Saccharomyces cerevisiae S288C: one gene and its partners. Changing the gene in region 2 together with the main gene of any one other region gives a genetic interaction. Each region holds a gene or a part of one and is shown on either strand. Other genes may lie near its edges.

The links.
Region 1: mutations in PIR3 (region 2) and YMR321C together harm fitness more than expected from each alone (negative genetic interaction), as found in Saccharomyces cerevisiae (one large-scale study listed by BioGRID).
Region 3: mutations in PIR3 (region 2) and HSP32 together harm fitness more than expected from each alone (negative genetic interaction), as found in Saccharomyces cerevisiae (one large-scale study listed by BioGRID).

The regions. Positions count from the first base shown.
Region 1 is NC_001145.3:916,969-919,536, forward strand, and holds YMR321C (uncharacterized protein), read right to left. Parts: upstream 929-2,568; coding exon 611-928; downstream 1-610. Other genes in the region: YMR320W (uncharacterized protein), read left to right, coding at 1-83; SNO4 (glutathione-independent methylglyoxalase family protein), read right to left, coding at 1,398-2,111.
Region 2 is NC_001143.9:142,529-145,887, reverse strand, and holds PIR3 (beta-1,3-glucan linked protein), read right to left. Parts: upstream 1,488-3,359; coding exon 510-1,487; downstream 1-509. Other genes in the region: PIR1 (beta-1,3-glucan linked protein), read left to right, coding at 3,069-3,359. UniProt on the Saccharomyces cerevisiae protein: Component of the outer cell wall layer. Required for stability of the cell wall and for optimal growth. Required for resistance against several antifungal and cell wall-perturbing agents.
Region 3 is NC_001148.4:10,277-13,228, reverse strand, and holds HSP32 (glutathione-independent methylglyoxalase family protein), read right to left. Parts: upstream 1,343-2,952; coding exon 629-1,342; downstream 1-628. Other genes in the region: FEX2 (fluoride transporter), read left to right, coding at 1-1; phosphopyruvate hydratase ERR2, read left to right, coding at 2,359-2,952. UniProt on the Saccharomyces cerevisiae protein: Catalyzes the conversion of methylglyoxal (MG) to D-lactate in a single glutathione (GSH)-independent step. May play a role in detoxifying endogenously produced glyoxals. Involved in protection against reactive oxygen species (ROS).

The DNA of each region.
Region 1 (2,568 bases), on a different chromosome or scaffold from region 2:
ATCCAAGGGCACCTGCTTTTATCAGCTGCGACAATAGAGCCACGGAGCCAACAAAAAAAGGCTTTTTAGTTTGCCGCATGTAATGATTGGCGAATAATTTTTCAAGGTTATGATTGTTCTTGGGAACACAGATCACGGAATCCTTTTGCCAATAATACATTAGATGGAATATTTGGATACAACTTTCGAATATAACGCCTTTTGAGCTAGCAATATCGACTGTATGGGAATATAAAAGTTAATTTTAGGCAATTTAATTAATCGTGACTGGTCGGAGAAGGCGAGATTGTAGCTCCACCATGTGAGGATTATTGGCAAAGGTTTAGATCCGGTGGAGATTTATCTTCTTTTACCCCATCTTACTTGTGCACTCTCCCAAATTCCCATCTGATGAACTGTTAGTTGATTCCTTTAGATTATAAAACATATGATGTTTACTCTGTTTTTTGTCGGCGAAGTACGGAAAAGCATTTGTGACTCTAAAAAAACATGGCAAGGATAATTAATTAACAATACTTCTTGTGCTGTTTATAAAATGTATTTAGTGTAACATGCTGCTTCCTAGCATATGTATAATGTTAAGAATTTTCCAGTTTCTTTAAAAAGGCATTTACGTGTATTTCTTGACGGCTGCAGAAATCTCTTGGATGTCTTTTGGACTTGTTCTGCAACAACCACCAATGATACGGGCACCGCTGCTAATGTACTGTTTAACAACCGTATCCCAACTGTTCAGCTTATCGCTATTTGGCAACCATATCTTCTTTTCAGTATCATAAACTTCACCACTGTTTGGATAAGCAAGCAAGGCCATATTTGGCAGTGCTTGATGTAGAGACTCAAGAATGTCGGGTGATTGGTTGAAGCTGACGCAGTTGATTCCTAAGAACGAGAGGTTAGGATTTATTTTGTCGCCCAAGTCCATCATCTATTTACTACGAAACGATAAATTTCCCCGTTTTCTTTTACTTTTACTTCATTTAATATAATTCATATTTATTTCCCATGTACCAATTAATTACTCCTAAAAGAACAGAAATAGAAAAAAGTTGTATATAACAAGCCAAAAAAAAAAAAGAAAAAAGGAAACACAGCTTATTTCAAATTGCAATCTGCGTATTTCGTAAGTAACGAATGATCTCACAGCATTGCTTTTTTTTTTTTTTTTTTTATATATATGTACATTACCTATGTCACATATGACCATGATGAGTACAACACTAAAAACCAAGGCCTACTATTCAATTGTTCTCTATATGATTTCCATTCTAGCAAAATCGAGTGCTACCGATCTGCCGTTTTCTTTACCTTTCGAACCATTGAGCTGTTAGCCTTCTCTTCACAGAAACTGAAGGCCATTAGAAGCCTCCCCTTCAACAATTCCCTTGTCTTTTGTTTCAGCTATATAATGCGTTTATAGCTCTAATTGTGGTCGAATAGGAAGAATTTGCGTTAACACCCGTAACTAGCTTTCCATCGGTAATAGAGTAGTCATCCCAGGGATGAATTGGCGCCAAGTACTTGGCTCTATTCTTGTTTGCAACGCGTTCAACCGTTGTCAATTTTCTGCTCCTCAAGATGTCGTCAACTCCCAGGGCGATTTCACCCTCGAGTGGGAAACCTGTTATAGCTTTGCCTTCGATTAATGGTCTTGTTGTTTTGATATCTATTAATCCATCGAAAAGGAGCGGTCCATGACAGATGGCGGCGATCACACCCCCATTGGCATATATCTTGGATGCAATATCTTGCAGATTTTTAGCTTTGGGATAGTCAAATAGAGCACCATGTCCAGCAGATGCAAAGAATATTTTATAGTCGCTGGCGTTGACTTCATTTGCGGTCTTGATCCTCGCTAACGCCTTATTGAAGGCGGAATTTTTCGTTTCAAAGTTCATCTTATCTTCGCCACCAATAAAGCTCTTTGGCAAGTAATGTTCATCCCAGCCAAATCCACCAGTCTCAGAAACGAAGTCCACTTCGAAACCATGCTTTTCGAAAGTATCGAACGACCGCAAAATCTCAACTACAAAAACGCCTGTTTTCGCACCATCTTTATAGAAGGGACCGTGGTATGAAGTAAGAGATATTAGCGCTCTTTTTGGAGTCATTGCAAGGCCAGTTTTCTTTTTGAATGAAGGAGAAAAGTGTTCTAGAAATATGTTTTAGTTCTAAGTATCGTTGTCTGGAGCAAGCAAAGAAAAGCAGACCTGTATGTGCAACTTTCTTGTTTTCCATTAAAATCTCAAGAACCGGCCCCTTGACTGTGCTCATATATCAAGTATCGGTTTTAAAGTCCCCTAATTGTGATAATTGCAAGAATGACAGTCAAAAAGATATTTTTCTTTTCTTTCTTTTTACCTATCCTTCATGAAAATACCTATGCTGATACTGAATATCTTCATTTGCAGCTATGCAATATTTCAGATACTGCATTTTACCCAAGAGTTTCTTTACTGGTGGTTGGATTTTTTTTAAGACGAGAAGATTACCAGTCCTGGATGTTCATGAATGTGCCTATTGCGTCATCAGCGACTCCGCGCCAAGAAAAGAAATACTCGCATGCTC
Region 2 (3,359 bases):
GTTGCTAAACTATCTTTTGGCATTCCAGCTGAGTGCTTTTCTATACCTTAAGCGCTCCTTTGCTATCGCAGCTAGCTTCACAAATTTTTTCTCAGGGAAAGCTTCTGCAATTGCGACTAAGTTGAAAGATAAAATATAAAGTATTATAAACGATATTTTTATAGCAGGACCACCTAATAGCATACAAATAGCTATAAGTATGTTTGATTCTGAATTATATTTAGGTAATTATGTATCATAAAATTTTTTTTTTTACAATTAAAAAGGTACGACATGTAAATCTGAGTAAATTCTATAACTATTTTTATTATAGCGACGAACGATAATGTGTGAAAACGTGATGCTTTCTCGAGCAAACGCTAAATGAATGCAAAGAACGAGGAAAGGTTTGGAAATAAAGACATGCTAAATGAAAAGGATGCCATAAAACAAGTTTATGTGTGGGGAATGAGAGTGGCAACTAATTCGTGAAGTTAAAGGAGGACGACTCCGATTGATCGATGCATCGTTCAACAGTCAATTAAATCTATAGCTTGCAAATAAACTTCATGGCACTGAGAACCAATGTGCTTATCATACAAGTTATAGAAGTCACCAGACAAACATTGGTAAAAAGTATCCTGGTCACCAAGAGCTAAGTTACCTTCTGGGGTGATGGACCAACCAGCAGCATAGATAGCACCAGCTTGTGGTGGAGGACCATCGAATTGGAACTGTCTGTTGGCAACGATAGAGCCAATTCTACCCTTCCTATCGGTTAAGATACCCTTGCTTAAACTCATTGACAAGGTACTATTGTTATTACAGGAAACAACATCGACTGGATCGTTAGCGTCTTTCACTTCAGCAGTAGCCTGGACTTGGCCATCACTTACTTGACTAGCGCCACTGGTAGTTTTAGATGCTTGTATCTGCCCATCTGTAATTTGGGATGCAGCAGCCTTAGTAGAGGTAGTGGCCTGAACTTGGCCGTCAGAAATCTGAGAGGCAGCGGCAGCAGTAGACTTGGCAGCTTGAACTTGACCATCAGTTATTTGAGAAACGGCAGCGGCAGTAGACTTAGCAGCTTGAACTTGACCGTCAGTTATTTGAGAAACGGCAGCGGCAGTAGACTTAGCAGCTTGAACTTGACCGTCAGTTATTTGGGAAACAGCAGCGGCAGTAGACTTAGCAGCTTGAACTTGACCGTCAGTTATTTGAGAAACAGCAGCAGCGGTGGATTTCTTAGAAACAGCAGCAGTAGTAGTGGCAGCCTGTACTTGACCATCACCTATCTGAGAGGCGGCTCTCTTTGCTTTAGATGAGGCGACGGAGGAAGCACTGGTAGCCACGGCTTCAATAGCAATACCGAAACTCGAAGAGTAATCTGTTATACCACCCTTGTAAGTAGCTGATGGAGTTAAAGTGGACCACGGGTCCTTTGGAGCATAGGCAGCTAAAGATGTAGCAGCTAAAGCGGAGACGACTAATGGCTTTTTATATTGCATTTTTACTTATAAACAGTACTTGTTTTATGAGATTTCTTATTGATGTAAATGTAATAATTATCTAAAGAAATCTTAGGTTACAGTTTCAGTGTTAGACAAAACAAGACACAAATCAATAGAGCATGCTAAATGACGAGAATCTTATATAGGCTTGATTTGGCGCATGTTGTAATGAATGGAGTAGGGATAATCCTGGAGATGCATGATTTATCCCTTCTATTTCAGTCGACGGCGAAATATGCCAAATTTAGAAAGCCCTCGGCCTTTGATCTATAATTAGTTTGCTAATCGTTTGATCCCCTTTAACTTGCAATAACTTTTCCCGATGAGGTAAAAATACAGCTTAACCGCCAAGAAATTGCGCGGGGCCAGAAATCAAATTTAAAGGAAGTAGTGTACAATAAGGTCGATTTACTCCTTCAACTACTACTACATTCGGAAATGGTTGCTCGGTTCCGAATAAGGTCTCTTACGCTAGCTTCCCGGTGACCTTACCGATCTATGCCCGTAAAGTATTTTTGCAATTGTATTCTGTACAAAAGTTGTCTTTTGGATGCATTTTTCACACATTTGCATCAATGAAAGTCCGAATGCGCCTATCATCCCGTTGTTGTCTTAAGATTATAAGAAAGTACATGGGCAAAAACACGATAATAGTAATGTAGTGACTCCCGTTTAGAATAAAGAGCTGCGCACATACCTAAAATGGTTGCACATTTTAGAAACCTACTCGGTGGCACGTGAAGTGGTATACATTTAGTTAATAGTTAAATAATTTTCGTACAGAATATCGCACCGTCTCTTAGCATAACAGTGTATCTCACAATCTTTGTTCCTGTTACTAGAGCGAAAACTTAATGATCTAGTTATATCTTCTTTTGTCCCCTCTTGGCCCCTCAATAATGTTTTATTTAGCACCAGCACTTTTCTCATTTGGTTTTTCTTTTTTTTCTAATATATTCTGCCTTTCCTATTTAGGTAATAATTCCTCGAAGCCAGACGCCTTTTTCGGCTACTTTTTTGACAGCTGCTGCCCCTTTAATGAAACGGTTGGTCGAAAAGGAGTCAATGTATATCTCATATGAAATATGCAAAGCATTCCTGTCATCGGAAAATGACGTGGCTTGGAGCGCATAAAAATGGAGAGATCGGCCAGCTTGCTCTTAATTATATCATCATTTATTATTAGCAGCCTTTTTATGTCCTGCCAATTATAGAAGCAACGCTAATAAAAGAAATTGAGATGGCGGACGTAAATCCTTCTTGGAGCTCGATTACTTGCTTTAATAATACGATGGACCATCATTTAGCCCATGTATCTGAAAGGGTTTAGACTGTGTCCAGTCAATCTCTCCTGCCCAAATATTAGAACGCTGGTATACTAATTATTCTTTCAATAAGAAGATCGTAATGCTACAATTCTCACATATAAAAAGGAGCAAGATCTTTACTACTTTATGCATAGTTGTCCTATCTTCTCTATTACTGTATAAGAATAATATCATCAAGAAAACAAAAGTTAATACACTGGTATTAAAAAAAAACAAACTACAAAACTCCCCTAATAGTATATTCTAGAAAATGCAATACAAAAAATCATTAGTTGCCTCCGCCTTAGTTGCTACATCTTTAGCTGCCTATGCTCCAAAGGACCCGTGGTCCACTTTAACTCCATCAGCTACTTACAAGGGTGGTATAACTGATTACTCTTCTACTTTCGGTATTGCTGTTGAACCAATTGCCACTACTGCTTCCTCCAAGGCTAAGAGAGCCGCTGCTATCTCTCAAATTGGTGACGGTCAAATCCAAGCCACTACCAAAACCACTGCTGCTGCTGTTTCTCAAATTGGTGACGGTCAAATCCAAGCCACT
Region 3 (2,952 bases), on a different chromosome or scaffold from region 2:
GGATCTTTTCTTCATACCTTTTCCTGCACAATCATCCCACCTTTTTTTTTTTTTAATTCATTTTCAAGATTTTAGACGTTGTATAATACATTTTTACCGACTACTGCGGTTTATTGTAATATTTTGTGAGATTTTATGAATGCGTTCCATCATCTATTTACTACAAAACGATAAATTTCCCCGTTTTCTTTTACTTTTACTTCATTTAATATAATTCATATTTATTTCCTATGTACCAATTAATTACTTCTAAAAAGAACAGAAATAGAAAAAAGTTGTATATAACAAGCCAAAAAAAAGAAAAAAAAAGGAAAAAAAAGAAAACACAGCTTATTTCAAATTGCAATCTGCGTATTTCGTAAGTAACGAATGATCTCACAGCATTGCTTTTTTTTTTTTTATATATATATGTACATTACCTATGTCACATATGACCATGATGAGTACAACACTAAAAACCAAGGCCTACTATTCAATTGTTCTCTATATGATTTCCATTCTAGCAAAATCGAGTGCTACCGACCTGCCGTTTTCTTTACCTTTCGAACCATTGAGCTGTTAGCCTTCTCTTCACAGAAACTGAAAGCCATTAGAAGCCTCCCCTTCAACAATTCCCTTGTCTTTTGTTTCAGCTATATAATGCGTTTATAGCTCTAATTGTGGTCGAATAGGAAGAATTTGCGTTAACACCCGTAACTAGCTTTCCATCTGTAATAGAGTAGTCATCCCAGGGATGGATTGGCGCCAAGTACTTGGCTCCATTCTTGTTTGCAACGCGTTCAACCGTTGTCAATTTTCTGCTCCTCAAGATGTCGTCAACTCCCAGGGCGATTTCACCCTCGAGTGGGAAACCTGTTATAGCTTTGCCTTCGATTAATGGTCTTGTTGTTTTGATATCTATTAATCCATCGAAAAGGAGCGGTCCATGACAGATGGCAGCGATCACACCCCCATTGGCATATATCTTGGATGCAATATCTTGCAGATTTTTAGCTTTGGGATAGTCAAATAGAGCACCATGTCCAGCAGATGCAAAGAATATTTTATAGTCGCTGGCGTTGACTTCATTTGCGGTCTTGATCCTCGCTAACGCCTTATTGAAGGCGGAATTTTTCGTTTCAAAGTTCATCTTATCTTCGCCACCAATAAAGCTCTTTGGCAAGTAATGTTCATCCCAGCCAAATCCACCAGTCTCAGAAACGAAGTCCACTTCGAAACCATGCTTTTCGAAAGTATCGAACGACCGCAAAATCTCAACTACAAAAACGCCTGTTTTCGCACCATCTTTATAGAAGGGACCGTGGTATGAAGTAAGAGATATTAGCGCTCTTTTTGGAGTCATTGCAAGGCCAGTTTTCTTTTTGAATGAAGGAGAAAAGTGTTCTAGAAATATGTTTTAGTTCTAAGTATCGTTGTCTGGAGCAAGCAAAGAAAAGCAGACCTGTATGTGCAACTTTCCTCTTTTCCATTAAAATCTCAAGAACCGGCCCCTTGACTGTGCTCATATATCAAGTATCGGTTTTAAAGTCCCCTAATTGTGATAATTGCAAGAACAACAGTCAAAAAGATATTTTTCTTTTCTTTCTTTTTACCTATCCTTCATGAAAATACCTATGCTGATACTGAATATCTTCATTTGCAGCTATGCAATATTTCAGATACCCCATTTTACCCAAGAGTTTCTTACTGGTGGTTGGATTTTCTTTAAGACGAGAAGATTACCAGTCCTGGATGTTCGTGAATGTGCCTATTGCGTCATCAGCGACTCCGCGCCAAGAAAAGAAATACTCGCATGCTCGGATTTATAGAATCGCATAATGGAAATACCTTCCTTAAAGGATGGAGATAAGGAAAAAATGACAAGAACAAGGAAGTACTTGGGAGCTTTCTCCGACATGGTAAATATTTGAAACTCACGCAGCTCTCCTGGAAAGTTGGATCTGGAAAGGTAAGGTTGTTTTTTTTACAGACATCAACCAAAATCGGTTCTTGTAGTAGACAATGTCACAGATCGCCACAAGTTGAAAAAAAAGTTTCGATGAACTGGATAAGGGGAGAGGTCACAAACAAAGTGTAGGGGGTGAGTAGTATAGTGGTAACTTGTTCATTTACCTAAATAACATTCTCACTAGAAAAGAGATATTGAAAGACTCCTCGTTTACCTAACTTGGCTGGTTCTTAGGTATATAATAGAAACATGGATCTGGCAGGTTATCACTTACAGTTTGCACTCCCACCAGGTTACAATTTTCATTATATATAGTTATTTTTTACCACCACTTCTTCTTCTTTCACTTTGTCTTGCAATAGAAATACCAAAACAAGGTGAGGAAAAAATCGAATCTCAACGATAAAAATATGTCCATCACGAAGGTACATGCTAGAACGGTGTATGATTCTCGCGGCAATCCGACTGTTGAGGTTGAAATTACAACAGAGAATGGTCTCTTCAGAGCGATCGTCCCATCTGGTGCCTCCACCGGCATTCACGAAGCTGTTGAACTTAGAGACGGGAACAAGTCCGAATGGATGGGAAAAGGGGTGACCAAGGCAGTCAGTAACGTCAATAGTATCATAGGGCCTGCTTTAATCAAGTCCGAATTATGTGTAACCAATCAGAAGGGCATAGACGAGCTCATGATATCGTTAGACGGAACTTCTAACAAGTCAAGGTTGGGCGCCAATGCTATCCTTGGTGTTTCCTTGTGCGTTGCTCGAGCTGCTGCCGCACAAAAGGGAATTACTCTCTACAAGTATATAGCCGAGTTAGCGGATGCTAGACAGGACCCCTTTGTTATTCCTGTTCCTTTTTTCAATGTTTTGAATGGTGGAGCCCACGCCGGTGGCTCTTTAGCTATGCAAGAATTCAAGATCGCGCCAGTCGGGGCTCAGAGCTTTGCAGAAGCCATGAGGATGGGTTCGGAAGTTTACCATCATTTGAAGATATTGGCG